Caenorhabditis elegans: one gene and its partner. The protein of the gene in region 1 purifies or fractionates together with the protein of each later gene. This does not show direct contact. Each region holds a gene or a part of one and is shown on either strand. Other genes may lie near its edges. The genes, in order: C04E7.3 and Y57A10A.5.

Evidence for each region.
Region 2: the proteins of C04E7.3 (region 1) and Y57A10A.5 fractionate together in Caenorhabditis elegans (co-fractionation; one large-scale study listed by BioGRID). This does not show direct contact.

Annotation. Positions count from the first base shown.
Region 1 is NC_003284.9:340,554-356,072, forward strand, and holds the start of C04E7.3 (uncharacterized protein), read right to left. Parts: upstream 6,665-15,519; 5' UTR 6,642-6,664; coding exon 6,584-6,641; intron 5,748-6,583; coding exon 5,329-5,747; intron 4,723-5,328; coding exon 3,613-4,722; intron 1,379-3,612; coding exon 1,220-1,378; intron 680-1,219; coding exon 528-679; intron 1-527. Other genes in the region: sor-3 (Sop-2-related protein 3), read left to right, coding at 13,067-13,105, 13,238-13,327, 13,377-13,523, 14,060-14,178, 14,229-14,442, 14,584-14,665, 15,032-15,162, 15,221-15,364 and 1 more.
Region 2 is NC_003280.10:12,145,432-12,161,135, forward strand, and holds Y57A10A.5 (SPK domain-containing protein), read left to right. Parts: upstream 1-9,054; 5' UTR 9,055-9,080; coding exon 9,081-9,232; intron 9,233-9,275; coding exon 9,276-9,389; intron 9,390-9,438; coding exon 9,439-9,717; intron 9,718-9,760; coding exon 9,761-9,874; intron 9,875-9,921; coding exon 9,922-10,119; intron 10,120-10,180; coding exon 10,181-10,751; intron 10,752-10,809; coding exon 10,810-11,034; intron 11,035-11,078; coding exon 11,079-11,141; 3' UTR 11,142-11,381; downstream 11,382-15,704. Other genes in the region: Y57A10A.2 (SPK domain-containing protein), read left to right, coding at 2,372-2,529, 2,599-2,712, 3,053-3,220, 3,270-3,314, 3,755-4,100, 4,349-4,561, 4,615-4,677; Y57A10A.4 (SPK domain-containing protein), read left to right, coding at 6,537-6,688, 6,732-6,845, 6,894-7,175, 7,219-7,332, 7,382-7,570, 7,620-7,721, 7,770-8,012, 8,063-8,716 and 1 more.

The DNA of each region.
Region 1 (15,519 bases):
AATGACTGTTGAAAAAAACTACTTATTTTATTGAATTTATTAAATGTTTTTCATTTAAAAAAAATTAAAGATTAAAGGACGATCCGTTCTTCAAGTGCTATGCACTGCGGATCTGGGGTTCAGGTACACTGCCTGGTGGTGATCACCTCTGGGCTGTAATTTAAGCCACGTCCTAGCCGGGGACTGTGGCCGATAATCCAGTCGTGGATTGCTCCACTTCCCAATAGAGGCTGGGTGAACCTAGGGGGGTGAGACCAGACTTGAACTCGTGACCTCCAGACTGCTAGCAGCCACCACTACCGACTGAGCTATCTGCCCCCCCCCCCCCCCTTGAAAAAAGAGACATTATTCGTCATTTTTTGTCAGCTTATCAATCACTACGAGTGAATAAACACCGAAATTGATTTACAGCCCACCATGGCAAAACAAAAAATTAGGACACGACTTTCTTGCCAACCTAATATATGGGCCTGCAGAGGCTAGCAATTTTTATATATATAATATAATACATATTTCAAATCCTGTACCTTGGGTGACATTGATGTATTGGTTTATCTCCAAAATATGATCCTCGTCTAAATCTTCCATATTTATCTGACAAATTTATAATCCGGCCATCAATATTTTTTGTTCTAACAAAAACACATGGTGGGAAGTTTTGTGCTTGGCTAGGAACCATCTGGAAAAAATTGTTTAATAGTTTGTAAACTGCAGTTAAAGTTCATGAAGGTGGGCGAGTTTAGAATCGAAAATAGTTTTTAACCGACACAAAGCTGACACAGATTTTTTTTAATAGATTGTACACAACGTAGTGCAAAAGGTAGTTATTTGGATGCGGCCAACATGTTTGGGGTTCCGCGCCGCACTATACATGCGCATGCATGTGGATACATTGCGGCGCCTTACCGGCACCGGAATGGAAGCCCAACAAAAAAATAATCAACCTACTCAGTAGTGTAACAAAAACAAATTTTTTTCAAACTTTTTCGTTTCTTTTTTTTTTCACAAGTATCCACAATTAAATATGTCTAAAGGATCACGAGTTCACGGTTCAAAACGTTATCCTTTTTATAACTGTTATAATAATGCTAAATTCAAATTGTTAACTACTTTAGCAAACAAAAAGTATAACGTAGATAATTAAATTGCAAACGAGTTTTATTACTTATTTGCAAACGATAATTTTGTGAAAGTTCATCAAAAAGAATTCTCAACAAACCGTTATATTAGTGATGACATCAAATCCCAAAACATCGCAAGCTCCATCGGACAAGCATAACTTCATTTTTGGTTTGTCTGCATCAAGTATGAAACTTATGGAGGCTGAATTCAAAATTTCCAGCTCAAAGTCTCCGTAGAATATCTGTTGTGGATACATCTAAAATACAACGTTTTTTTATTTCAAAAATCAATAAACTCCAAGTGACCCCATAACTCCAAATTTTATAATAAGTCTTTTCAAAAGTTTGGAAAATATTATTATTCGTTTATTCGTTTTTTTGGCTATTCGTTTTTTTCGGCCAACGACTAATTAGGCTTAAGCCGATTTTCAACATTTTCGGCTAACGGCTAATTCGGCTAAAGCCGTGTTTCAAAAGTTTCGGCTAACGGCTTATTCGGCTAATTAGGAAAACGTCGGCTAACGGCTAAATCGGCTAATATTAGCCGAGTTAAAGGTGGAGTAGCGCTTGTGGGGAAATTTCTTCAAAACATGCCAATGACAGAATATCATATTTAAAAAAATTATAAAATTTTTCTAAATTTTATATGATTTTTTGAAAGTTGAAAAAATCTCGAATTGCATCAAACTCCCATTTGAATTACCGCCAATAGTTCGATGTTCGATGGAGCGCGCTTGTCATTTTTTAATTTTATTTCATCAATTTTTCACATTTTTGACTGATTTTTCATGTTTTTTTTGCGTAATTTTACTGAACATTCAGTGAAAAATTCAAGATAAATGCAAATTGTTCACTAAAAACAAGTGAAAAACAGAGAAAGAACGTTTTCCAACGACTTTGAGCCTGAAATAATCGATTGAACGATTTTACGCCTTCATCTCCTCTTTTTAATGAACAATTTGCATTCATCTTGAATTTTTCACCTGAATTTTCAGTAAAATAACGCAAAAAAAAACATGAAAAATCTGTCAACAATGTGAAAAATTAATGAACAAAAACTGAAAATGACAAGCGCGCTCCATCGAACATCGAATGTATTGGCGGTAGTTCAAATGGGAATTTGATGCAATTCGAGATTTTTTCAACTTTCAAAAAATCATATAAAATTTAGGAAATTTTTTTAATTTTTTGTACTATGATATTCGGTCATTGTGGTACCAGGCATGTTTTAAAGCAATTTTCCCACTGGCGCTACTCCACCTTTAACCGGTCGGCTGAAATTTGGTTAATTCCGTTAACTTTATCAGTTTCAGGTTTTTTGTTGATTCAGCAAGTTTTTCACTAATTTTGTGGGTAATCAAGTAAGTAACAACAATTCAATTGGTAACAGAAACAAAAAAACACTGAAAGCAATTAAACAATAAAAATTTGTTTGCAAACAATGCAATTGTGCTCCATTGTGTTAGCCGAATTAGCCGAACGGATATTTCGACTAATTCGCCTGTTAGCCGCCCACCTCTGATCCCCACTGACGACTTTCCATCTTCATAATGAAAATGTAAAGGTGGTGTAAGCAAATTTTTTATTGCTTCATTAGGCTTAAAGTTGCCTGAAAACATCGAATTTTATAATGGAACTTTATATTTTTTTTAAATTATGGCGGATCAAAGAATGACCTACAGTTAGTTAAAAGTTGAAATATGGTCGCTTTGTCAATGTAACAGCGGCTGGAAACTAGTTTTTTTTTTTGAAATCACAGTCTAATTTTGGGTACGTATGTTGATTATTTCACGTTTTCAACTCGATTTAGATTTTTTAAAGCCGATAGACAAAGAGATTTTTTTAAATGTTTTACCATCTCTTCATCCATCGAATTTAAAATATCTAACTTTTAAGTCGACTTGTAAGTCTTGTAAGTCGAGTTGAAAACGCAAAATAATCAACTTCGGCACCAAGAATCCGACGGGGATTTCAAAAAAGTTAGTTTCCAGCCGCGGCGACACTGACAAGTTGATCAAATTTCAAATGTTAACTTATTTTAGGTAATTGTTTGAACCGCGATAACATTTTTTTGAGAAGTTATCAAGAAGCTTCATTATGAAATTTCGTGTTTTCAGACAATTTTGAGTCATTACTTGTATATATATTTCCTGCCCATGGAATAATGAGTAAATGTCGCCATATTTTACGCGCAAAAAGCATTTGCGTCACTTTTTCTCGCATGCTATCTCAAAATGTCAATGGCGAGGGGGCGTTGGAGAAAAGAGACGCAGGCGTCTCCGCAGTTCTCATCAAATCATAGACACGTAAAAAAAAATAGTGTCCGTTTGTTTCAGTGACGTCCCAACGTGGTGAGACCCATTGTGGTGTGACCCATTTTAGCGGGAACTCAAATTGCTTCAGAAAAATTTCGGCGGGAATTCAAATTTCTTCATAAAATTTTGGCGGGAATTCAAATTTCCTCAGAACATTTATTTTTACAAAATCTTACCGTGCAAGTTATAGCATCATACTTATGTTCAAAATGCCACAGAATCTTATCCACTGTCTTTAATGAAGTTTGGGGAACATCATGCCCCATTGTATTCTCGTAATAGCAGTTCACTTCATTTTCTGTTTCTTTCAACTCTGCCAGCAGGGGCTCAATCTTTTTCCACTTTGCTTCTCCCCATTGATAATGGTGAGATGGATTAACTTTCGAAAGATAAGAAATATCGATATTTTTGACTTTCTCCTGATCGTCCACAATTAGCATATTTTCAAGATATGTTGGTGTTGACTTTTCAATTGCCAAGCTGGGCTTTGCCGCGGTTTTAAATTTTATTTCGTGAAGTTCTTGACACTTTTGGTTGATGATTTCCTCTTCTAATAATTTATTAGCTTTAACAAGTGATTTGAATTGATTCCAGACTTTCAAATTTCCGTGTTTACTATATCTTGCATTTCTCAAAAAATCAACTTCATTTCTTTCCATGCTCATCATTTTTTTGGCCAGCTCCCGATTATTTGCAGTTTTCAGTTGGCTTCGTCTCTGGTATCGGTCGTTGTCTCTTTTCAACGCCATTTCAGATCCACTCCACTCCACTGGTTGAAGATTTTCGTTTTGCAATACCAGATCCTCAATCATTGTTCTTAGTCGCACTTGATCTGAGACCTTTTCAAAAGATGTCCCCTCGTTTTTCTTTGATTCCACTTCTTTTTGTTGCCATTTTTTCTTTGCTGAGGGTTCTGCCACTAACGCATCGTCCCTTCGCCTCTCCTTGGTCAATTCTTTCAATTGTTTCACTGCTTGATCTTCACTTAATGATCCTATAGGAACAGTCAGTATTTTTGACTTCTGCTCTTCTTCACGATGTGCAGTTTTACGGGACCTTCTTTTTGTTTCACTTGATTTTTCTTGTTTCTGTTTGTAGGCTTGCGCCCATTCAGTGAGATTCTCGATTTGCTCATTTTCGGAGACTTCTGCTTGGACACGTTCAGCTAAACTTGCTGATAACAACTCATCCTCTGAGATGGAGCATTCTGTTTTTTTAGGTTCTGACAAAGACGTCGGCTTCGAAGCTTTTTTTGGTCCGGAAGTTGTTTCCGGTTTTGGTCGCTTCTGAAAATTTGGCGTATGACTTTTTTACAGGTAGGCAAAACATGAAATCTTCAGGCGCCTGCTACTGCGCTGCATACCGGAAACCCTCGGATTTTTGCCCTAATTATACGACTTTCGTATTGATAAGAACACAGAAAAAAAGTCAAAAACATACAATACGCTAAACACCAAAAAATAGATAATAGAAGATAAGAGCATTTCACTAGTTGCTAGAAAGTATATTTCATAGAAATTTTTTTTTGGAAATTGTTTTTTCACGCGTCCACAATTTTTTTATTGTTTGTATTGTTTTACTGTTAAAGGTGGTGTAGTTGAATTTTTTTATTGCTTTATTAGACTCAAAATTTTCTGAAAACACCGAATTTCATAATGAAACTTTTTGAAAACTTCTCAAAAAGTTATGAAGGCTCAAAAATGGCCTAAAATTAGTTAAAATTTGAAATTAGACTGACTTGTCAATATGATATGTATTCCCCCAAAAAGTTGTTTTTTGATCAACTTGTTCCTTGTTGCCTAGTTCACTTACCTATGCTTTCGTCGTTGAATTTAAAAGACTAATTGTAAGATGAACATGAAATAAGCTACACAGAATACTAAATTTCTAACCTTGATTGTACTTTGTTGAAGTTTTTGAGGATTGCGATACTTTTGTTGACCTTGATAGGTTTGGGTATAACCAATCCAAGGTGGAGCTGCAGCGGCTCGTTTATTCGGAACCGCACTTTCTCTCGGATCTTCCATCATTTTTCTATCATTTTCATTTTGATTCGAAAAAGCATTATATTGTTCCTGAACTTGTTGATTGGGCCCAACTCCTGTATTCAGCGGCCTTGAAACCAGCCCCTCCGGGGACAGAGCATTGGGATCAGGCGGTCCTACTGTGTTGCGAGGCAACGATGCATGTCCTTGCGTACTTCTTGAGCTGTCTCCCGATTCATGTCTTGACAGTGAATTTCTTCCAGGTTGGTTCTTATTTGTATAGCGCACTGGATGCGTAAAATCATGCGATGACATTATGGGAGTATCTGCAGATATTTTGTATGAAAGTTTGTTATTTTGCATTCAAAAACTAGGAATGTTCGCCTATTAATTTCATAAAGATTTTCGTCGACCGCAAAAAAAACTGTGAACTGATTTTTTCAACTTTTCTGTGAGTTTGCATTTTATTTTAAACTAAGCAAAATCAGCACAAGAACTTTAAAGGAAGCTCCAGAAAATTGTTTCCGGGCTAGGATGCCAAAAATTTGTGATGGTAATGTTTGCTCTGAAAACTGTATGAGCAAAACTCAAGTTATGATCAAAAATCTCAAATATTGTTCAAATAAATGAGCATGTTCAATTAGAAAGGCTTGAATTTTGCAATTTTCTAAAGTTTATCTAAAAAAAATGAAATGCAACAAAAAACTCATGACGTGTGACCCAGGGCTGGGAATTTTTTGGTTTTTTTGTTTTTTGTTTTTTGGTTTTTTTGGTATTTTGACGAAAAATCGATTTTTTAGTTTTCTCGGTTTTTTGGGACCAAAAAAACCAAAAAATCCAAAAAACAAATGTTTACCGTGTCTAGTCTCGACTCGAGACTATTCTGTATTAAAATACATTGAAACATGTATTTTAACACAGTTGTGACGTCATAAATGTATTTTAATACATTTTGCAACATTACTTGAATAACGCCATTAAAAATGAACTTAAGCATCAAAAATTTTTTGGTTTTTTTTTGGGTTGGTTTTTTGGGTTTTCCGAAAATTCCAAATTTTTGGTTTTTGGTTTTTTTTTTTGGTCCTAGCCCTGGTGTGACCCTAAATGTTTTGTTACCCTGTTTAATTTTAAGACCAGAATTTTCCAACAAAAAAATACCTACCAGTTTGTGCTGTAAAGTTTGGAATAGCCCGTATATCAGGTGGGTCGTTTACATTCATTTCGACTTACGAATATCTAAAAAAAATATGTTATAATATATAACGCAGAAAAGCAATTAAAAGATCTCTTGCAGTAGAATAACAAACATTGAAAAAGATTGAGTCAAGAAAGAATACCTCGGCATTCAGAGGCAACTTCCTGCCACACTTTGGCAACTTATTTAGTGCCACTAAAATAATTTGCCGAATTGCTGGCAGGAAGTTGCCGAGTTGTTGGCAGGAAGTTGCCACGTAGTGGCAGCAAGTGGGAAAGAACGCTCCTCGGCATTCAGAGGCAACTTTCTGCCAAACTTTGCTTACTTGCAACTTCCCGCCAAACTTTTGCACATTCCTGCCAACATTTAGATGTTGCTGAGCGTTCTTTCCCACTTCCTGCCAACAACTCGGCAACTTCCTGCCAGCAATTCGGCAACTTATTTTAGTGGCACTAAATAAGTTGCCAAAGTGTGGCAGGAAGTTGCCTCTGAATGCCGAGACTACTTAAAAAGCATGTATTTTAATACAGTTGTGACGCCATTAATGGGTTTAAATATGTACATTTTGCAACATTACTTGAATGACTCCATTAGGTTTTTGTGAATTTAAAGGTAGAGTAGCGCCAGTGGGAAAAGTTTTTTGACTACTCTAGTTGGGCCAAAATGCCCACATAACATTTTTTATCAATTTTTTTGGAAATTTATTATTTACTGTCAGAATGTAAGAATTACTCAGCTTTCGCCACTCAAAACTTGGAAGTCGACCGAAAAAAATGTTTTCCAAAATGCACACATTGGATTAGGATTAGTGTTGTTTTAAGCCTAAAAATGCAAATCGATTTCACTTTTTAATTAAATTATCATTTTGAAAGAAAATTGATAAAAAACGTGTTGAAAAAAAAATTGTTGACTAGTTATACTACACAAGTACCAAACAAAATTTTCAAAAAATATTACACAAATCGATGTTTGCAGAAAAATTAAATTTTTAAAGATGTGCTTGCAATCAAAAGATTTTGAACATCATTTGACTAACGGAATGAAGAAAGCATAGAAAACAGTAGAAAAGGAAAAGACCAAGGCGGCGAGACCATAAATTTGCCGGATAGAGAGGACACATCAAGTCGCTTCACCGGCTGCGTCTCCAGCCTTTCAACACGTTTTCTTGCGTTTCTTTGCTTACTGCACTCTCTTTCAGTGTCATATCGATTGCCATTAAACACGAAGAGCGAGCACGTGAACCACTGAAAAATTGACCGTTTGATTTGCAAAATATTTCTATATTAAAAAAAAGCATTTCTGTAAGAGCATTTGCTTCTTTGACGGCGCTGTCAGGCTTTCGTTACTTAACGAACCAACAAGTGTTTTACGTCAGCTAATATGAAAATATTTCAGCTATTAAAAATATGTATATCAAATCCGTGTCTTTCAAGTTGTAGAGCAAGCATAAATAGAGATTTTGTGAGCACAACAACGCTCCCATAATTATGGACCACCCTGTAACCCGTTAAAGGTGGACTACACGCTGTGGGAAAATTACTTTAAAACATGCCTATGGGGTCACAATGACCGAATATGATGATAAATAAATTCGAAAAAAAATCTAGATTTTATATGATTTTTGAAAATTTGAGAAATCTCAGTTTTCACCTAGTTCCTATTTATATTTCCGCCAATTGATTCATTCGAAGGACCGCGCTTGCATTGTTTATTCATTAGTTTTATTTATTATCATTATTCCACTGATTTTCTTCATTTTGTTTATATTTTTTTAAATGAAAATTGAAACGAAAAAAAACAAGATAACTGCAGAATGCTTGTGAAAAGGTAATTGAAAATGCGTAAAACAGTAAAATTATAAGTTTCGACGACAACAAGCATGAAATTAGTATATTTCACAGTTTTATGCACTTTCAATGACTTTTTAGCACACATTCTGCATTTATCTTGTTTTTTTTTCGATTCAATTTCCATTTAAAAAACACAAAAAATGAAGAAAAACAGTGGAATAATGAGAATAAATGAAATCATTACTTATATATTTTTAAAAAAATACAGCTTATTTTTCCTGTCCGTACCGTTTGTTTGTTTGTTTTTGTGACCTCACACCCAACTATACTAAGAACTGTTGGCGGGGTCCGTCTCCCTTCGTGGTCAGGCCCATCGTGGTGAGACCCATCGTGGTGAGACCCATTGTGTCGAGACCCGTCGTGGCGAAACCCATCTAGATGAGACCCATCGTGGTGAGACCCAAAACTTTGGCGGGACATTCAAATTTTCTGAGAAGAAACATTTGGGCGGGAAATTCAAACTTTCTGAGAAAAAATTTTGGCGGGAAATTTAAATTTTCAGAGAAAATATTGTGGCGGGAAATTCAAACTTTCTGAGAAAACTTTTTGGCGGGAAATTCAAATTTTCCGAGAAAAACTTCGCGACAAATTAGGTGAAAACTGAGATTTTTCGAATTTTTAAAAAATCATATAAAATCTAGAAAATTTTTTGGAATTTTTCAATCATGATATTCGGTCATTGTGACCCCATGGGAATTTTAAGCAATTTCTTCACAGAGCGTAGTCCACCTTTAAGTGTTGAACAAAGTTATAGTTTTCAGTTCGAAAACAAGCTGAATATGTGTTTATGATTTCTGATTTGCACTTGATTGTATTCACTTACTTTTCGAAATAAATAATAAATTATTAAGGGTAAATTAGTTTAAAATGAGCAAAGATTAAAAAAATTGTTTCTTTTTCAGAACTCAAAATTATCGTACTTCCTCCAGTTGAAATAAAATCTTCTATATCTATATTTTCAAAATCAAACAAATTGACAGGTTATCTTTGTATTATTGAATTTAAATGTTTTATCTTATTGAACAACAGTTATATTGACGTTATAAGCCGGAAAGGTGAAGGGGAGTTTTTCCAAAAACATTCCTGTAATAATTTCAAAAAATCAATTTGGAGTTGTCCTACTTTTTGGTATTTAATGCATGTGTTCTCGAAGGAAAATATTGGCTAAAATATTTTCTGAAACGTGAGATGTTTTTAATTCATTATTAATGAGAAAAATTACATTAAGTGACAAACATACAACGGTTTCTCCATTCATTGTAGAAATTAATGCAAGTTTCTAATTTTCGAAGCAAGTGAGATCAGCCAAAAGTAGAATACGGAATCATTTTGATTGAAATTGGATGGGATGAACATTGAAATGAACGAAAAACTAAGAGTTTATCTGATAAACTTTACTTTTAATAAAGTATATAGTTAAATGTTGATTTTGAAAATTATACGAAGCATAAGTTTTAATTAAATAATGAAACAGGGCTGGGCGGCAATTGTCGTTCGGCAAATTGATTTGTCGACAAATTCGGCAAATCGGCCAATTGCCGGAAATTTTAATTTTCGGCACATTGCCGATTTGCCGTTTGCCGGGCATCAGATTTGCCGGAAATAATCAAAGGGAGGGCCACTGTTTTGAAGCATAGGTCTCACCACGACAAAACTTACTACTGTAAATTTTAAATTTTTCCCGTTTTAATTTTGTGTTTTTGTATAATTCCGTTGTTTTTTATGATAACGTCTCACACTAATTGATGATTGACAAAATAGCCTTTGAAAAATCAGAAAAAATTAAGCGTTTATTTTTTCCAGTAATTTGCCGACAATTTTCGGCAATTGCCGTTTTTCCGGCAAATCGGCAAATTGCCGGTTTGCCGATTTGCCGGAAATATTCAATTCCGGCAGTTTGCCGATTTGCCGGGAAAAATTGTTTACCGCCCTGTTCTGAAACAGACTCTGAAGTTAGACAGCACAACTTCCGTTCAAAGTCCAGAAAAAAGACAAAAAAAAAGCAAGCGGTGCAGTAAAAATAGAGGCTACAGAAAAGCCAAGAAACAAAAAAAAAATTGTCAAAAACGAGTATATAGATGCATGTTATCTGGGTGAACTCACAAGTACAGTTTGACGTCTGACCCTTTCCAAACGCTCGAGTCGTAGGAAGTTATTTGACCCCGGAAGATTTGCAGGAAAAAATAAATGCCCATAGATCGATTGGCAAGGACTAGTAGTCCAGAACACGTAGGAAATATGTTTTTTTTTCAGTTCAAAAATAAAAAGGACAGACACTGCGTATCGCATTTTATACTTATGCATTTTCTGTCAATTCATGTTTATTAAGATAGACTAGCGGGCCCTGCGGCCCGCCAGTTGCAGGGGGTGTAGGGCGAGTCCCCCAATCGGACGTAGGTTCTCGGCTTCGCCTCGAACCTGTCAGAGGGTTCGTGACAATTGCAGTGAGCCAATGGGAGGAGAGGAGACCCACTCATATTTTGCTTAAAATCGAGCATTTCTATTCGAATCCCGATTAGCAAAAAAACATTTGTCAGTTGGGGGAATCGAGCAAACGAGCAAAATATTCACAGCCATACACACTAACCACTCGGCCATGCGGGAGAGACCCGACAGGGAGATGCAGGGAAGGGAAATTTCTGGAGGGAGTCGTTTTTCGATTCCGCTTTCTTCAATAATTACATTTTGAGAAAAGGCGTTCGAAAACCGTTTATTACTGATATGTCAGCGGGAAAACGAATTTTTGAAAATTTTATTACAGGATTGTACTCATTATTGATTTCCCAAAAAGGAGACGTATAGTTGAGGGCTATATCTTGTACACAGACAGATGTATAGAAAAAAAACAAGTTTTGGCCTGAAAATTAATAAAAATAATATCTCTTGGCAGAGTATTTCTAATGCGACGAAACTTCATCTTCCATCAAATAAAATCAAAAACTATGAATTAAAAATACATTCCGCAAAACTTTAGTGGATAAAATGTTCAGGAGACGCAGGAAACCACTCCCCCCAGTACTAAATTTTTGAATTATTTTTTTCTTGAAAAATTTTCCCACTGAACTTTTTACAAATTTTATATGTCTCGATGCGTCTTGATGAGACCTACACGTCAATTTTTGGAAAACTAAGAAAACTCGAAAACTGACCGAGTTATGATTGAAAAAGTAGATTCGCGAAAATGGGAAAGTGTGCAAAATGTGGCACTTATTCGTCTTGCTCGGCCGACTCATAAAACTTTTCTTAATTCTGAGTTGAAAATCGTGTTTAGCGAACTTTTTTACGTGGGGTAGAAAAAAAAGTATCGAAAAAGATGAAGTAGAACTTGAGATAAAGACGAAAAACAACTTTTTGCCTTTTGCACTTATGAACTCAAACTTTCTTTCAAAAAATTCACCTCTCTGAGTAGTATCTTGCACATAAATTTGGAACAAAACCGAGCAAAACCCGAATTTTAATTCAATTAAAACATGGTTTTTTGGGGGTAAAAAGAGCAACAAAAATTTTTTTCAAACTAAGGAAAACCGCCCTGAGCTCAGTTTTGCTCCAAACTTTGTGCAGTTTTTTGCTCCCCCGTGGTGAAATATTTCTAGTAAGCTGTCAAATATTATAAAATTCAGTCAAACGGCTCTAGAGTTATTAATGAAAACGAAGTGTGACATTTTTTCGCAAGCCAAAAAAAACGCGAAAAAACGCGAAAAAGGGGCGGAGTCGCCACACTCGGCATTTATTAGAGGCTGCTTGGCAGAATTGAAATGTATCCACACCAGGGCTATGCGGCAACCGGCAACCAAGTTTTCGGTTGCCGAAACTTTTTGGGTTTGGCAACTTTGGCAATTGCCGGTTGCCAAAATTTTCAGAGTTCGGCAACTTCGGCGTCGCACATCCCTGATCCACACGTTTTATACTAGTTTCCATAAAACAGGTGTCACACGTTGACATGTATGTTTGGTACACATTTCTCCTCCTGCTGACCCACATACCACTCAGCACCGAATCGATAACTATTGGTATGCGGCCATCTCTCATAATGCCTTCATTCTCATAGTCTTATTTGATTTTCTCAGATTTTAAAGTTTATATTTACCACTAATTTTGAAAGTTTAAATGCTGATTTCAATAAGATTTTTGCTTATTTTGAAAATATTGTTTTCACTATAAAAAATATGTATATATACTGTTGCATTGAACATGCTATTTTTGAATGATTTTATTCAAAATTAATAAAAAAAGACTGAAGAGAGTGGGATTCGAACCCACGCCCCCGAAGGGACTGGTGCCTTAAACCAGCGCCTTAGACCGCTCGGCCATCTCTCCACATTTTTCTCTTTTCACTCAAGCTGTTGACATGTTGAAAAAACCCCAACCGATTTTCTTTTCTGTCTCTTTCTCTTTCTCTGCCTCTCCACCGTCTCTCACTACACCTCTCTTGACGCCACAAACAACATTCCGATATTCCGATGGTGTCGTTGTTTAGAGTGTTATTGTAATTACTGCAGATGGAGAAATTTTTTATTTATAATTCTTGTTCTCCACTTTACTAAAACAACTCAAAACGTTTTCAGATAATTCTTAACTTATTCAAATAAATATTTTCAGGATGGACACAACGAATCAGTCAGAAGACATAAAACCTTGCGTAAGTATTGAATATTTGGCACTCATTTTACTTGTTTCACGTCAAAATTATTTTAATTCCGGCAATTTGTCGGTTTGCCGATTTGCAAGACCACCTCAGCTTCATACCCTTCTAAAACAGTTCTAATTTTAGGATTCTGATTTGATGGAATCAATTTTGATGTTTGATGAGCCCATTTCCGACATTTTAGCGCATAATAAATTGTGGATTAGTCATGCCAGGGTATTTCCAACGCAATAGTTAAGGCGAACTTCTTTGTTTTTTTTTTCAGACGAGATCCAATTTCTTTCCACAAGAAGGTCGCCACATTTCCAATCAACACACCGAAGCAGCGACATCGTTGAAAATGTGGATGCTTTCAAAAAATTTGGTGGTCATTGTGAAAAGAAAGGACGATATATTCCCTTGCAAAATTCTGGTTGGTTTTTTATCAAATAATACGGTTGAAAATTGTGATATTTTTTCGCTAAAGTAAGCATCGAAAATGACTTCCCGATAATAATATTAGTTTTTTAACTTTATAATAGTATTGCATCTAAAAAACAGCCAAAAAGAGTGCAAAACTCATTAAAAAACGTTATATAAAGAAAAAGTTATTTTTGATACCGATTTCCCTAGGTGCTCCAAAATAAGGATGGGCGGCAGTTGCCGTTCGGCCAATTTTTTTTTGTCGACGAATTTGGTAAATCGGCAAACTGCCGATTCGTTGTTGGATTCGTTGTTGAAATCGTTTGTCGTCCACCCCTGTTTCAAAATCACTTCACTGCAAAATCACTACAAAATAACTGCACGAAAAAATGTGCTGAACAAATGAAAAGCCAAACTTCCATTTTTATTTAAACTAGAATTATTCAAAGTCAGTCATGAAAAAAAACAATATGGTATTATTTAAGTACCTCTATGTTTTTTCTTCCAATGTTTAAATTTACGTTCACATTATCCTCAAAGTTTCAGACACGCAACCCGGAAAACCTATTTGTGGCTCGATTTCTTGAAAGCGGAAAAGAAAAGCATATTCAGGTAGAGTATTCGGATATAATAATGACAAGAAGTGAACTCGAAAAAGCCCTGCCGTAAGTTTTAGGAAACTACTAGTATTATTTCTGAATAGTTTTTTTTTCAGATTGTGCCAACACTTGATTCCAGCGAGAAACTGGGACGACTTTTACATAATCCGCGATTTTGAGAAAGCGACTCCGTATTTTGAACAAGGCTTGTCCGCATTAGTGAAACCTGGACAGCAATTTGAATTGCAACTTGAAGATGCACCGGATTTTTACGTCATGGCCACTGTTGTCAAAAATTATCGTGGTTTCCTGTTGGTTGAATATCAAAACGTCAGTTGTGTGCAAAAGTAAAATCTGGGTGCATCAAAACTTTGTAATAAACTTTTTTTGGTGTTTTGGAAACTTGAAAAACGGAAAATATTCAGAAAAACAATGCCAGTCTTTTTGTTTCATTTTTTAATGCTTTTTCAGTTCAAACGATGGATACATATGCTCAGCCCATACTGTCATGAAATCGGTTGGGGCAAAAACGAGAAGCAAGAGTATTTGAAACGTAAGTGGAAAAAAATCCAAATTGGCGCTTTCTCACAGCCAAGTAGCTATTATTTAAAGGTGGATGTGCGCCAGTGGGGAAAATTTAAAGAAACGTTTAAAAAAGTTAAAAATTACGGTACTTATCAGGGCTGTGCAACCAAGTTGCCGGCTGGCAAAATTTTCAGAGTTCGGCAACTTCGGCAATTGCCGGTTGCGAAATTTTTCAGAGTTCGGCAATAAACTGAGTAATGTAAAAGTTTAGATTTTCAATTAAAGTAATGAGTTTGATCGAGATTTTTCAATGATTACTTGCAATTTCCCCTAGCAAAAATAGTTTGAAAATCATTTGCAAAATCGAAGAGAAGTGATTTTACGATTTTTTCAGGAGGCCCCTACAATCGACACATGAACGTTGACCTGGTTGCCGGACTCGTGAAACAATCGACAAATCAAAAACTCGGCGCTGTTCCAGAAATAGTCTTTAGAAACAATTGCCCAGTTCCCCATCGTATTCCAGTAAGTGATTTGGTATACTGTAAAAATGTTAGAAGAAACTCAAAAAACTGTTTTACAGGAATACAGTGCATGTGTCTATCTGGACTTGGATCAGAAACGCTTTTATTTTGCTCACAAGGTCACTACAAAAACTTGCAGGAACAACCGTCATTTTTTCAATATTTCAATTGGAAAAAATCTTGTGACCAGTAAGCAAAATAATGTAAGTTTATTGTTCTAGTTCTTTTTGTTTCAATCGAGTAATTTTCCAGAGACCCTACGAGTTTCATGTCTATCATCCAAGAATTCTACCATATTCAGTTGCTAAACGGATGGAAGTTCAGATAATTCTACCGCCTGATGTCAAGCTGCTTCCTG
Region 2 (15,704 bases), on another chromosome or scaffold:
TTTTTTGAAATTGTTTAAAGTATTTTCCAAAAAAAATTCCAGATTTTACTGGAAATCTCATGTGAATTTTAATATTTTTCTATAATCTTTTCAAATTTCTCTAGATTTTTTCACATTTCTCAGAAATATCTCGACATGTTTCAATTTTTCGACAAGCTAGATTTTTCTGAAAAATTGAATTTTATTTCTAGAAATAATTCAAATTTCGCATAAAATTTTTTCATAAAAATTTCCAGAAAATTTCCATTTTTTTCAAATTTTACTTAATTTTTTCAGGATTAAAAAACCTTCTTTTTTTACCAAAAAATTTTTCTATTTAAAAATTTTTTCCAGGGCCTCATCTTCGTCTAATTACCTTCCAATACCATATCCACAACCAACAGGAACTATTGGCCTACACGAATTTTTTGAACTTTTGCGTCATATTCTTATTCTGTTGGAACGTGAAGAGCTCTCGGAGCTCACGAAACAAATCAAGACAATCATCGAAAATGGAAGCGATGAAGTACGGAAAAAAATGGCTGAAAATTAGGGGAAAAGCTGGAGATGTTTAGAGATTTTCAGCGAATTTTGTCTAAAAATTAGAAAATTCAAAATTAATTTTTTTTTCTCGATTTCTAAATAATTTTAAGAAATCAGTTATATTTTTGAATTTGAAAATAACTAACTTTCTGAGAAAAAAAATTAGAAAACCTTAAATTGGAATTGTATCTAATTTTTGCCCATTTCAAAAATAATTCCTTAATAAAAATTCAAATCCGGGCCTTTTTTCCAAATTTTTTGACAAAAAAATTAAGAAATTTCCGATTTTTCTGGAAACTTTATAAAAATTAGATTTTTGTTCTTTTTTGAAGACTCTCGAATTAAAAAAAACCTGAAAAGTAGCTTTTTCTCTAAATTTTTTCCAAAAATGCTTTAAAAAAAAGTACAGAAAAAACTGTTGAAAATTAGAGGAAAAGCTGGCGATTTTCAGCGAATTTAGGAAATTTTGCCTGAAAATTAGAAAAATCATAATTAAATTTTTTTTTTCTCGATTTCTAAATAATTTTAAGAAATCAGTTATATTTTTTAAATTGAAAATAATTAATTTTTTGAAAAAAAAATTAAAATATATCGAAAAAAAGACTTTAAAAATTAAAAAAAAAAAGAATTTTCAATTTTGTGCAATTAAAAATAATTTTTGACTAAAAAACCGAACATCGACAGTTTAAAAAGAATCTGTAAAAAACAGAATTTTTGCAATTTTTTTTAGAATACTCTCGAATTAAAAAAAAACCTGAAAAGTAACTTTTCTCCAATTTTTTTCCAAAAATGCTCAGTCAAAAAACCCCAATTTTCCAGAAAATTCCAACGAATCGAATCAATTCGGTGCTCGACGTGGCATTCTACAAAATTCAGCGAAAATTCGTCGTGACATCATCATCATCATCATCGTTGCCCAATTCGACGAGCGCTCGAGGATTCTTGAAAATTTTCAAAACGGTTCTGTATTCGTTAGAATCTCCAGAAGTCTATGGGCTCTTGGAGCAAGTTAAAGAGAAATTGGCCGAGTTGGAGCATTTGGATATGGTAGGTGCCAACTACGAAATTGACCAAGAAATTGGTGAAGCCGATTTAAAAATAAAAAAAAATAATTTTTACAGAATATTTCAACTGCTCACATTGAGGAATGTGTCAAAGAAATCCTCTCTATCTTCTCATAATTTTAATATATTGTACCATTTTTTTTTCAAAAAAATCCAAAATTTGTTTTCTGAAACCGTATATTTTGTTGTTTTCCCCCCATTCCTAATTCTTTATAAAGCTACTGAATGTGTTTTTTTTGCTGGAATTTTTTCTGTTTGAATATTAATTGGTTTTTTCCCAATTTTTATATTTGCAATATTTTTTTTTGTTTATTTCTTAGTTCCCGTAAAATTTAAATTGTGCATTTTTCCAGTTTCGTTGCGAGACCCGAAAAACTGCAAGTTTACTTTTTGAAAGAACGATCCGGTGTTTTTTTGCAGAAAAATACAGTTCAAAAATTAAAATTAGAAAATTTTCCAGTAAAAATGCTCAAAGTTCAGAGCTCAAAAATTAAACATTTAAAATAATCAGTATTTTTTTCATATTTAAAAGATGCTAGACTAAATAGTCTATGCAATTTGAAACCAAACAACACGTTTAAAATGTCTAATTTATTTTTAATACCATTTTTTTAGTTGGCGCAATGAATGCCGCAGATAGGAGAATGCTGAATTTTTTGGTAGCAAAGACGATCACGGTTTGATCTACAAAAAATGCGGGATTTTTTTGCCCCAAAAAAATGTGACGTCGTGGCATTTTTTATTTGGCCGTGGAGCGCTTTTTATTGATTTTTAGGCTTTAGACAATGGACATCACAGACGTCGAATTCACGCGATTTATTGATTTTCTAATCGAAAAAACTAAAGATTCGGTTGAGCCGTTAACGATGGCGAGTATAGTGTTCAAAGAATTCAGTCAGCTTGAAGGAGATCAAATTCCTACTGGATATGGACCTTATTCAAGGTAAAACCAGGTCTCGATCGCATTTAACAAGTATTTAATTTTCGTGTCGAGACCAAAAATTTCGTTCAGATTCCATTTCAAAATCGCGCCGGTAATCGATAAATTCCACAACTACAGTATAGAGACACGAATTCGATTGATGTTCGCCCTGGGAGCCAAGGTGTCGCCGGAATTTCTGGCGCTGTGAGACCTCACGGGGTGTTAGGATGTCCCATTACAGTTTGATCTACAAAAAATGCGGGAATTTTTTGCCCAAAAAATGTGTGACGTCAGCACGCTCTTAGCCATTCGAAATCAGTTGAGAACTCTGCGTCTCTTCTCCCGCATTTTTTGTAGATCTACGTAGATCAAACCACGTGAGACCTTTGACCAGTGGAGCGCGCTTGCAGAGCCCTTTTTCAAACGATTTCAGAATTTTTCTAAAAATTCGTGCTTTTTAGAAAAAAAAAAGTTACTCAAAAAAAGTTGGTCTGCAATCGCGCCCCACTGAACCGAGATATGCTAATTTTGGTAAAGCTTGCAGAACTCGAGAACACGGTATTGCTCAGCTTGACGGGAGAAATAGAATCTGCAAATATGAATCTGAAGACGGAACTCTCCAGCTAGGCACTGCTCATTCCGAATCGGCGAAACGATGCTCTGCCAGTGATTCGGATCAGGGCGGTGCGAAAATTGCGAAAATTACGGAAGAGTCTGTGAACAAAAATTTAAGATTTTTTTCTAAAATGGATATTTTTCAGGCCACAGATCACACAACACCCGACGAAAAGCGAAGAAAATTACGAGTAATAATGAATTTTTTTGAAATTGAATTGCAAGCGCGCTCCGTCGCTAAAGCGGCTAATTTATAATAATTTTCACCAATTTTTTACATAATTTTCAATGTTAAAATCACGGATTTCTGGCTTCCCTCATAAATTGAAATGGAAGAATTTGCCGAACTAGGCCATTTTGGCTCGGCCATATCTGGGGTAGATTTACGGCGCGTTGCGTGTCGCGTCGCGGCTCGATTTTAGTTGTAAAATTAAATGTATTTGTCCGTGTGGAGTACACGACACTTTCCCACGCGTTGTCCGGCGAGCCATTGTCAATGGAGCGCGAAAAATTCAATGAGGAAGGTCAGAACCCCGTGTATGGTTGAGCAAAAATCACTAAAAACAATTAAAAATATCCGAAAAAAAATTGAAATTCCCCGATCTAAAATTTTTTCAAATTTTTTTTTCAGATCACAGATCGCACAATTACAGAAATTATGGAACAATGATGAATATGTTGGGTCTCGCCACGAAATTCCGTCGAAGGGACCAGAATTCAAATTCGAGCATAAGCGTGACAATGACTTGGAGAATCCTGATTTGTTCTTCAGAAAACCGAAATCTGAAATTGATTTGGACGAGATTTGGCATGACGACGATGAAATTGAACACAGTATTTCGAGTTTTCGAGGGAACACCATCAATTTTCACGACTTTCTGAAGAAATTTCGGAAATTTTTGTGCTATCTAGAGATTCCCGAGCTTGATGGGCTTAAAAGTCGGATTAATATATCGATTGAAACAACGTCAGATGAGGTTAATCGAATAGTTATTACCGGGTCTCGACACGACAAGTTTTTGTTAGATTCAAACTGGTATGCGCCTTTAAGGAGTACTGTAGTTTCAAACTATTGCATAAATGTATACTTTTTTTCACGATTTGTTAAAAATTATGTGAAAAAAATTACAGTACTCTTACTCTTTAAAGGCGCACACCTTTTCCCATTTAACAAAAATTTGTCGTGTCGAGACCAGTCTGGGTATTCAAAAAAAAAAATATTCAGATTCTCGAATTCGCCGATCTTCATAAAACGTTCGAAACATTCTTCTTCGGGATTAATCGAAAAATTCGATCTACCGCCGCGGCTAATTCTATGCCGCTCAATGTATTCCTCATCAAATTCAAATGCTTCCTTCTTGGATTGGGTTCTCCCCAGATTTTGGATTTTCAGCACATGGTTCAGGCTGAGATTGATGATCCGACAGTCGTGAATAAGGTTTTTTAAAAAATTTTATAGAAAAAACATGACAAAAAACTTTAAATTTGCAGATTCTTCATCTCAACGACATCTGCCAAGCTGTAAGCTTCCTGTTCTCCATTATTGCACACTGATGCACATTTTTTTCCTTTTTGAATAATTGTTTTTTATTTGATTGCTTTTTGAATTTTTCGAATTATAAACTGTTTTTTTTAAATTAAATTATTTTGAAAATCGTTTAATTGTTTTTTGTTGATTTTTTGATGTTTTGCTTTGGAAAATTTGCGTTTTCAATCGCTAAATTATTTTCTCCACTCTTGCATGCCTTTTTTCACGATTTTTTTTTTCATCACAAAAAATAATTGCCTTTTTAATTAGTCGAAAAGCTAAAAAAACTGAGAAAACGATACCGCGGTTTTCTCCAAAATGGTGCAATATTGCGTCATGGTGTGCATTGCGGACCAAGCATAGCAGCTTACGCGCAAATTGATTTTCGAATTTTGAATCTTTTTATTTTAGGAATTTTTAGGATTTCCAGCTTCTAAAGCGCATTTTTAATAAAATCTCTATGTTTTTGTCTTCCAAAATTAAGATTTTCCGGTTTTTTAATTTTTTTGCCCGAAAAATGCCGAAAACCGGGTGCTAGGTCGTCATTTCCTGAAGTGAAAATCTCGTGTTCCTAAAATTTTTATTTTTCGAGTTATCTGTGATTTTGCGTTGATTTCCCTGATAATACTTTAAGCTTAACTCAAACAATAACTGATAATTGATTTATTAATTAAATAATCTTAATTTTTAATTAATAAAATAATTTTCGTTGAAAGTATCGAAATTATGATTAATAATCCACGTTTCTGTTTCATTCGCGAATATGTCTTCTCTAATTTCTCCTAATATTTATATATTCTAATTTTCAGGTCGATTTCGACTTTCCATCTGCACAATGGTCCTCAAAGAGGCGGAATCGAAAAGATTGATGAAATTTTTAGTCAATCTGACAAAAGGTGCCGTCAAGCCGCTGGTGGCGACGACAGTATTCAGAAAATTCGCTAAGCTCAAAGGTTCAGAGCTTGGTGCAACGGCTTACGCTAATAGGTGAGAAATGTCTGCTGGACTTACGTCTCCAAAATTATTCATTTAGATTTGAAAATAATCTGGTCCCGATCATGGATCAAATGGACAACTACAGTATCGGGTCACGGATTCGAGTGATGTTCGCCTTGTCGGCAACAGTGTCGAATGATTTTTTAGAACTGTAAGGAGAGATTTAACCTTCAGATTTACGAATTTAGTTTTCAGAATCGAAACGACGGGAACTGTTCAAGTGGATGAGTTCGGAAGAATTTCCAAGTATACTTCGAATGAAGGAAAACTTTCGTTGGAAGGAATCTACTGTAAATCTTCCAAAGCAGCACAAAAACGCCCAACGAACGCCAAACTTTCCGCTGATCTCTCGAATCATTGATATTCGTACAGTTCTCGGTGCATTCTTCTTCGGAGTTAGCCGAAAAATCAAATCAACTGGATCGAATAATTCTACAATGAAGGCCAAAGATTTCCTGGTCACGTTCAAGTACTTCCTTCTCGGATTGGATTTTTCCGAGCTTCTGGAGCTCAGCACAGTGTTCAAGAGAAAATTGACGAGTCAGATATTGCAGAGAAGGTTTATCGAAATTGTGAAAAATGCATTTTAATAATAAGATTATTTTCCAGATTCTCATGTACAGCGACATCCGCCATGCTCTCCAAAACCTACTCTCCACAATTTCTCAATAACTCGAAAATTTCTCATTGTTTTTTTTTTGCAAAACTTCCCAATTTGTTATATTTTTCTGTTATTTTTTCGCTCATAATTGTTATTGCCCCATTTTTTGTTCTGCAAGAAAGTTATGAAAAGTTATGAAATTTCAATTCACAAAATACTTTTTACCAAATTTCTCCCAACTTTGAAATATTCTCATATTCAGGTTAATTTCTACATTGGAGCTGCACAATGGCCTTCATCCACACAAGTTTAACAAGGCTGATGAGATTTGCAGTCGATCAGACGAAGGATATTATTGAGCCATTGATGGTAACGAAGGTTCTCACGGAATTCAGTGAAAGTGAAAATGATGGATTATCGCATTACGCTCATTATGCCAAGTGAGCAGATTCTTCCGGCTTCTCTTTAAAACTTTTGGTTTAGATTTCACAATTATTTAGTACCGAATATGGCGAAACTTGCGGAATACAGTATTGAGGAGCGTGTTCGAGTCATTTTTGGATTCGCTGCAGTAGTTTCCGATGATTTTCTGAAGCAGTAAGAACGTGGACTTTTTTGAATTTCTCGAATGATTGAAATTTCCAGAATTCAAAGAGAAGGCCTTGTTCATCTCGATAAGAAAAAACGAATCTGTAAATTTACTTCGCATAATGGAAAGTGGAAGTTGGAAGGAGATCACAGTCACTCGGCGAGAATGAAAAGGCGGTGGTCAATGAGAGTCCGAGTTGTTGTCGGTCTCCCGAGCTTGATGAATTTTCTTGTTGAAAAAACGAAGGACATCATTGAGCCAATGCTGGCGAGTGCAGCGTTCAGAGAATTCAGTGAAAGCGAAGATGGAGGATTACCGGAACATGCCTATTATAATCAGTGAGAATATTATTTCTGCTTCACTTTAAGATGTTTTGTTTAGTTTTCACAAAAATGTGGCACCGAATATGGCTAAAATTGAGGAATACAGTATCGAGGAGCGTGTTCGAGTCATGTTTGCACTCGCAGGAAGGGTGTCTGCTGATTTTCGGGCACAGTATGAACATGTTCTTTTTTTTAATCCGGATTGTAATTTACAAAATCAGAACAAAAGGACTTGTTGAGCTGGATGATGGAAAACGAATTTCCAAGTTTACCTCAACTGATGGAAAGCTGAAGTTGGAAGGAGATCACAGTGATTCGGCGAGAAGGAAAAGAAGCGCGGCATTTTATCGAAAGACTGATCACCATTGTCGTAGTGCGAACGATTCAAAGCCTAGAAGAAAAAACGGAAGGTTCATTGGTCGATATAGAAAGAATTGTAATTAAACATTAGTTTTTCAGACAATCGGACTCGGAATTCTCTGACAAAAGTGGCAGTGATGAAGATGACGTGGAATCTGCAATTTCGTATGGTAATTCTCCGAAAAGAGCAAGATGTGAAAAGTATATCCTGACACGAATATTTACACAATCTATTCATTTAATTTTCAGATCCGCTGATCCTGAAATGCATGTTTCATCCGGAAGTGACGACGATGAGGTGGAGGATGTCGGAGGGATGGACGAAGAGCCGGTGCTTCTGCCGATTGATTCTGATGAATCTCATATCGGCCATTTGCAAAACGGTGAAGAAATGATGGTAGAAGACGACAATCAACCAATTCCTGAGGATCCTCAATACTCAGCCAATTCGAGCCACCAAGGAAGAAGAATGAGCGGACGTATTCAAGAAAAGTGAACTTATTGTGAATTTACTACTAATTTTATTTTATGCTTTTTTTCAGGCTCTCCGCTTCGATTGCTCAAGAGACTACTGATGCTGCAGTCGCAATTCCTCATGTACCGATTTTGAATCCTCCATTCGAAAGTGACGATGAGGAGGTGAAGTATATTGGAGCAGTGAAGGGACAGCCAAAGCCGGGACCGATTGAATCCGTATTTGATCAAATCAATAATCGAGATCATTTCCAAGGAAATCAAGAATACAGAAATCAGTCAATTTCTGAAAGAAAAGTTGATGTCCCACTATTCGTCGAACATCAACAAATCAGTCTTTCCGCGGAAAATCGAGCCACTTCAGCTGAATGGAAATCCATATTTCTGCATGATTTCCTGAAACAGCTGACACAATTCATTTGTTTTTTCGAATGTTCGGAGCTAGCTGAGATCAAGCGAAATATCAAGGAAGTGATGGCTGATGAGGGAAAAATTTCCTCTTTTCAAAAATTAGAAATCATTGATATTCGTACAGTTCTCGGTGCATTCTTCTTCGGAGTTAGCCGAAAAATCAAATCAACTGGATCGAATAATTCTACAATGAAGGCCAAAGATTTCCTGGTCACGTTCAAGTACTTCCTTCTCGGATTGGATTTTTCCGAGCTTCTGGAGCTCAGCACAGTGTTCAAGAGAAAATTGACGAGTCAGATATTGCAGAGAAGGTTTATCGAATTTGTGAAAAATGCATTTTAAGAATATAATTATTTTCCAGGTTCTCATGTACAGCGACATCCGCCAAGCTCTCCAAAACCTACTCTCCACAATTTCTAAATAACTCGAATAGTTCTCATTGTTTTTTACTGCAAAATTTCTCCATTTTCTACGTTTTTCTGTTATTGTCTCGTTCATAATTGTTATTTATTCTCTCCCTTTTTTGTTCAAGTTATGAAAGAATTTTCGTTTAAAGTCTCAAAATGCTTATTGATTATCTGTGTGTATTTTTCACTCACGAATACTTTTTGGCAAAATTCTCCCAACTTTGAAATATTCTCATATTCAGGTTAATTTCTACATTGGAGCTGCACAATGGCCTTCATCCACACAAGTTTAACAAGGCTGATGAGATTTGCAGTCGATCAGACGAAGGATATTATTGAGCCATTGGTGGTAGCGAAGGTTCTCACAGAATTCAGTGAAAGTGAAAATGATGGATTATCGTGTAACGTCTATTATAATCGGTGAGCACATTCTTCCTGCTTTTCTTTAAGATTTTTCGTTCAGATTTCACGAATATCTGGCGCCGATTATGGCAAAACTTGAGGAATATAGGATCGAGGAGCGAGTTCTAGTCATGTTTGGATTCGCTGCAGAAGTTTCCAATGATTTTCGGACACAGTATGGACTTGCACTTTTTTTTTTGAAAATTCCGATATTTGCTTTACAGAATCAGAACAATAGGAGATGTTGAGTTGGATGACGGAAAACGAATTTGCAAATTTACATCGTATGATGGAAAGTTGAAATTGCAAGGAGATCACAATATTTCTGCAAGACCTAAAAAGCAGTGGCCAATTAGAGTCACTCCTGCCGAACTTACTGGATTTATGAATTATCTCGTTGAAAAGACAAAGGATACCATTGAGCCTGTGGTTGCAACAAAATTATTCAGAGAATTTAGTGAGCTTGAAGGAGAAGGACGAACGGACGGAGTCTATTATAAACGGTGAGAAGAGCATTCCTTCTTCTTTTTAAGACTTTTGATTTAGATTTTACAATCAACTAGCACCGAATATGGCAAAACTTGTGGATTACAGTATTGAGGAACGTCTTCGCGTCATGTTTGGATTCGCTGCGGAAGTTTTCGATGATTTTCTGGCACAGTATGATCAAGCGCTCTTTTTTGAAAATTCCCAACTTTAATTTCCAGAATCAGAACACTGGGAGATGTTGAGCTCGATGAAGGAAAACGAATTTCCAAGTTTACCTCAACTGATGGAAAGCTGAATTTGGAAGGAGATCACAGTCATGCGGCGAGAATGAAGAGAAAATGGGCAGCATATCGAAATGCTTATCGCGGTCGTCGTAGTGCGAAAGATTCAAGGGATACTAGAAGAAAAAGCGGAAGGTTCTTTGTTTGATTTAGAAATAATTGCTATTTAAACATTTATTAAACATTTGGTTTTCAGGAAGTCGGATTCGGAATCCTCTGACAAAAGTGACAGTGACGAGTATTCCACATCTCCGAAAAGAGCACGAGCATCTGAAAGTGACGATGATGAGTATATTGGAGCAGTGAACGAAGATCCAGAACATAGACACTTTGATGATTTCCATATCGATCATTCGCAAAACTATGAAGAAACAATGGTAGATGACGACAATCAACCAATTCCTGAGGATCCTCCATACGAAAGTGACGAGGTGGAAGGCCAGCCAAAACCTGAACCGATTGATTTCGAATTTGATCAAACCAATAATAGAGATGTATCACACAGTTTGAATATTAATAATTTGCGAGAAAATGGAGAAGTCAGCAACAATCCGTCAATTTCTGAAATAAAAGTTGATTTTCCATTCTTCGAACGTCAGCAATTCAGTGTACCCACGAATAATGGAGCCACTTCAGCTGAATCAAGAGCTATTTATATGCATGATTTCCTGAAAGAAGTGATCGAATTCATTTGCTTTCTCGAAAGGACAGAGCTCATTGAGATCAAGAAACAAATCAAAAAATCGATTGGAACGGATGATGATAAGGTAAATAGACATTTCTCATTAAAGAACGAAATTTTGAATATCGATTTTCGATTTTCAGAACCTGCAAATCACTGATATTCGTAAAATGCTGGAGTCATTCTTCTTCGGGATCAGCAGAAAAATCAGATCAGTTTCTTCCTATAACTCGACTTCTTCTGATATGTTGGCGAAGGATTTCCTGCTTAAATTCAAGTTATTTCTTCTCGGATTGGACAATTCAGAGCTTATAGAGCTTCAGCGGAAGGTTCAAGCCGAAATGGATGAGCCGAAATTGGCACAGAAGGTTTTTCGAATCCGTTTAATAAATATGGTTAAAAATGTTTGCAGATTCTTCTGGACAGCGACGTTCGTCAATCTCTCCAAAACCTGCTCTTCAACATTTCTCACTGAACTTTTTTATTTTCTTTTTGTTATATCTGTCCATTTTCTCCCTTTGTTCCATTGTTCTGTTGTTTTTTCGTTGATAATTGTAATTTCCACAATTTCCTGTAGAAAAATATCGTTGATTTGCAATTTTATTTGCTCTTGAAATTTCCCTGTGTTGCATTGTTCTGATACGTTTTTGTTAGTAATTTATTTATTTTTTTTATCGGTTTTTTGTTCTTTTTTTTTCGAAGAAATTTTTTGTTTAAAGTATCGAAATACTAATTAATTAATAATTCACGTGTTGATTTCATTCACGAATACTTCCTTTCTAATTTCTCCCAATATTTAAATATTCTCATATTCAGGTTAATTTCTACTTTGGAGCTGCACAATGGCCCTCATCCACACAAGTTTAACAAGGCTGATGAGATTTGCAGTCGATCAGACGAAGGATATTATTGAGCCATTGGTGGTAGCGAAGGTTCTCACGGAATTCAGTGAAAGTGAAAATGATGGATTATCGCATTACGCTCATTATGCCAAGTGAGCAGATTCTTCCGGCTTCTCTTTAAAACTTTTGGTTTAGATTTCACAATTATTTAGTACCGAATATGGCGAAACTTGCGGAATACAGTATTGAGGAGCGTGTTCGAGTCATTTTTGGATTCGCTGCAGTAGTTTCCGATGATTTTCTGAAGCAGTAAGAACGTGGACTTTTTTGAATTTCTCGAATGATTGAAATTTCCAGAATTCAAAGAGAAGGCCTTGTTCAGCTCGATGAGAAAAATCGAATTTGCAAATTTACTTCTCATGATAAAAGTGGAAGTTGGAAGGAGATCACAGTCCCTCGGCGAGGATCAAAAGGCAGTGGTCAATGAGAGTCCCGAGCTTGATGAATTTGATGAATTTTCTTGTTGAAAAAACGAAGGACATCATTGAGCCAATGCTGGCGAGTGCAGCGTTCAGAGAATTCAGTGAAAGCGAAGATGGAGGATTACCGGAACATGCCTATTATAATCAGTGAGAATATTATTTCTGCTTCACTTTAAGATGTTTTGTTTAGTTTTCACAAAAATGTGGCACCGAGTATGGCTAAACTGGAGAACTACAGCATCGAAGAACGTGTTCGTGTCATGTTTGGATTTGCTGGCGAAGTCACCGATGATTTTCTGAAAGAGTATGAACTTGTTCTTTTTTGAAAATTCGAATATTTGCTTTACAGAATCAGAACAATAGGAGATGTTAAGCTGGATGAGATGAACCGAATTTCCAAGTTTACCTCAACTGATGGAAAGCTGAATTTGGAAGGAGATATTAGTCATTCGGCGAGAAGGAAAAGAAGCGCGGCATTTTATCGAAAGATAGACCACCAATGTAGTAGTACGAATGATTCGAAGTCTACAAGAAATAGCGGAAGGTTCATTGTTCGATATAGGAAGAATGGTTATTAAACGTTGGTTTTTCAGAAAGTCCGACTCGAAATCCTCTGACAAAAGTGGCAGTGACGAGGATGGCGTGGAATCTCCGAAAAAAGCGAGAAGTGAAAAGTATATCCTGACACGAATATTCACACAGTCTATTCATTTAATTTTCAGATCTGCTGATCCTGCAATGCATGCTTCATCCGGAAGTGACGACGATGAGGTGGAGGATGTCGGAGCGGTGGACGAAGAGCCGGTGCTTCTGCCGATTGATGTCGAACGTGATGAAATCGATAGTCAAGATGTGGCAGATAATTCGAGTATTGATCATTCACCGGCACGAGTATCTGAAAGTGACGATGAAGAGTATATTAGAGATGTGAACGAAGAATTTGATGAATTTCACAACAGAGATGTATCACATCACAACTTGCATATCGATCATTTGCAAGCCTACAATCAACCATTTCCTGAGGATCATTCAAACGAAAGTGACAATGAGGTGGTGTATATTGGAGCAGTGGAGGGACAGCCGAAGCCTGAACCGATTGATTTTGATTTTTATCAAATCTATAATAGAGATGTATCGCATAGTTTGAATATCAATAATTTGCGAGAAAATGGAGAAGTCAGCGGCAATTCGTCAATTTCTGAAATAAAAGCTGATGTTCCATTCTTCGAACGGTCTACCAGCGAATAATGAAGACATTTCAGCTGAATCAAAGATCATAAGTTTGCATGACTTCCTGAAATCCCTGATCCAATTCATTTGTTTTCTCGAAAGTTCGGAGCTCACTGAGATCAAGCAGCAAATCAAGGAATCGATTAGAACTGAAGAAGATGAGGTTTACAGTTTAAAAAATACTGATAAAAATAAAAATACTGTAATCTATATTTTCAGAACTTGCAAATCACTGATCTTCGTACAGTCCTCGATGCATTCTTCTTCGGAATCAGTCGAAAAACTAGAGTAGCCGCGGCAATTCCCCCAGCTATGAAGATGAAGGATTTCCTGGTCAAATTCAAGTTATTTCTTCTCGGATTGGATTCCTCCGAGCTTCTAGAGCTTCAGCAGAAGGTTCAAGAAAATATTGATGAGCAAAGGAATTGGCAGAGAAGGTTTTTAGAAGTCGTCAGAAATTAATTATATTAACAATAAAAATTGCAGGTTCTTCCGATCAGCGACGTTCGTCAATCTCTCCAAAACCTGCTCTCCACAATTTCTCAATATTAAATTATTTAAATTTTGTTTTGTTTTTGTTGAATTTTTTGTTGCAAAATAGGTTTTTCACCTTGTTTTGTTGTCTTTTTTGTTTCAATAGTATTTAATTTTCATTACCATTACTTTAACGCTCTTCATTTTTTTTTAAAGTTTAATTTTACTTTATGTAATACTTAATTTACTGAAAAGTTCAAAAAATAGTTGTTGAAAATACGTTTATTTCGTTTACGAATACTTCTTGTCTTATTTTTTTATTTTTTTAAAACATTTTTGTATACAGGTTGATGCACAATGGACACACCCCTCGGAAGACTGATTAATTTTTTAGTCGAATGGACGAAAAATGTCGTTGAACCGCTGGTGGGTGGACGGATCTTCAATCGATTTGCTGAACTTGATGGAGCCGGGCTTAGTCATATTTATTACTATATAAGGTTTAAAAAATATTCAAAAAAATTTTTAAAAGGTTACTTGTACAGGTTTCATGAGCACATTGCTCCGAATATTGCTAAATGGGACAATTTCAATGTCACGACACGGATTCGAATGATGTTCGCCTTGTCTGGTGAAGTGCCTGATGACTTTTTGGCGTTGTAAGTATTATTTTATTCTGTTTTACTTTATTTTAAGTTTCAAACTGTATTCATTGTTAGAATTAAGCTCACTGGAACTGTCCAACTCGATGCGAAAAGGAGAATCAGCAAATACGCTTCGAATGACGGAAACTTGAAGCTGGAAGGATGCCACGGTTGTACTGCGAGATCAAAAAATGAGCGGGGCAAAGATCCTGCCGAAATCACGAGGTTCATGAATTTTCTCGTTGAGAAGGCGAAGGTTTCCACTGACCCAATGTTCGCGAGTGTAGTGTTCACAGAATTCAGGAAAAGTGAAGAAGACGGATTAGCGTACTCAACATATTGTCGAAAGTGAGAACATTCTTCCTGTTTCTCTTTAACATTTTTGGTTTTAGGTTTTACAACTATCTGGCACCGAGAATGGATCAATTTGTCAATTACAGTATTGAGGAGCGAGTCCGACTGATGTTCGGTTTGGGTGGAGAAGTTACGGAGGACTTTCTGAAACTGTATGAACATGCTATATTGTAGTGCTATTTTTTCTACAAACACACAAAACTGGCCTATTCCTACATGATAGTACAGCTTTTTGATCTAAAAATTATATGGACATATAGAAAATAGGTTGTTCTATCGGAAAATAACATTATTTTCTGTTGAAATACTTGAAAAAGACATCGAATAGTGTCTGAAAGATTCCGTTAAAAGTTTTTTCGGCAAGCGACAATTTTCAGGCACTATTCGATGTCTTTTTATAGCTTTTCAACTGAAAATTATCATATTTTCAGATAGAACAACCTGTTTTCTACATGTCCATATAAATTTTAGATCAAAAAAGTTGGATTATCATGCAGAAATAAGCCATTCTTGTGAGTTTGTCAAAAAAAAAATGCCGCATAGCCCTGCTATATTGTAGAAAATTTCGAATGTTACCCTAGAATTTGCAGATGTCGAAAGGAAGGAGTCGTTGAGCTTGATAAAAACAATCGAATTTGCGAATATATCTCATATGATGGAACGTTGAAGTTGGGAGCGGCCCACGGTCTATCGGCTAACATGAAAAGACGTAGTTTATTGATTGCCAAAGACCCTTCCGATCTTCCGAGGCTGATGAATTTTCTCGTTGAAAAGACGAAGGATGCCACTGAGCCGATGGTATCAATTGCAGAGTTGTCAGAATTCAGGAGACGTGAACGTAGTGAATTGACGGAGCAAGCTTATTATGGAAAGTGAGCAGCAGACTCTCGCTGCTTCTACAGCACATTTTTTCCCACTTCTACGACTTTAAAGGGGAAGGGGCGCATTTACGAGCGATGGTCTCGACACGCGCGTGGCGAGACCACGCCGTAATGCGCCCCCTTTAAAGTCG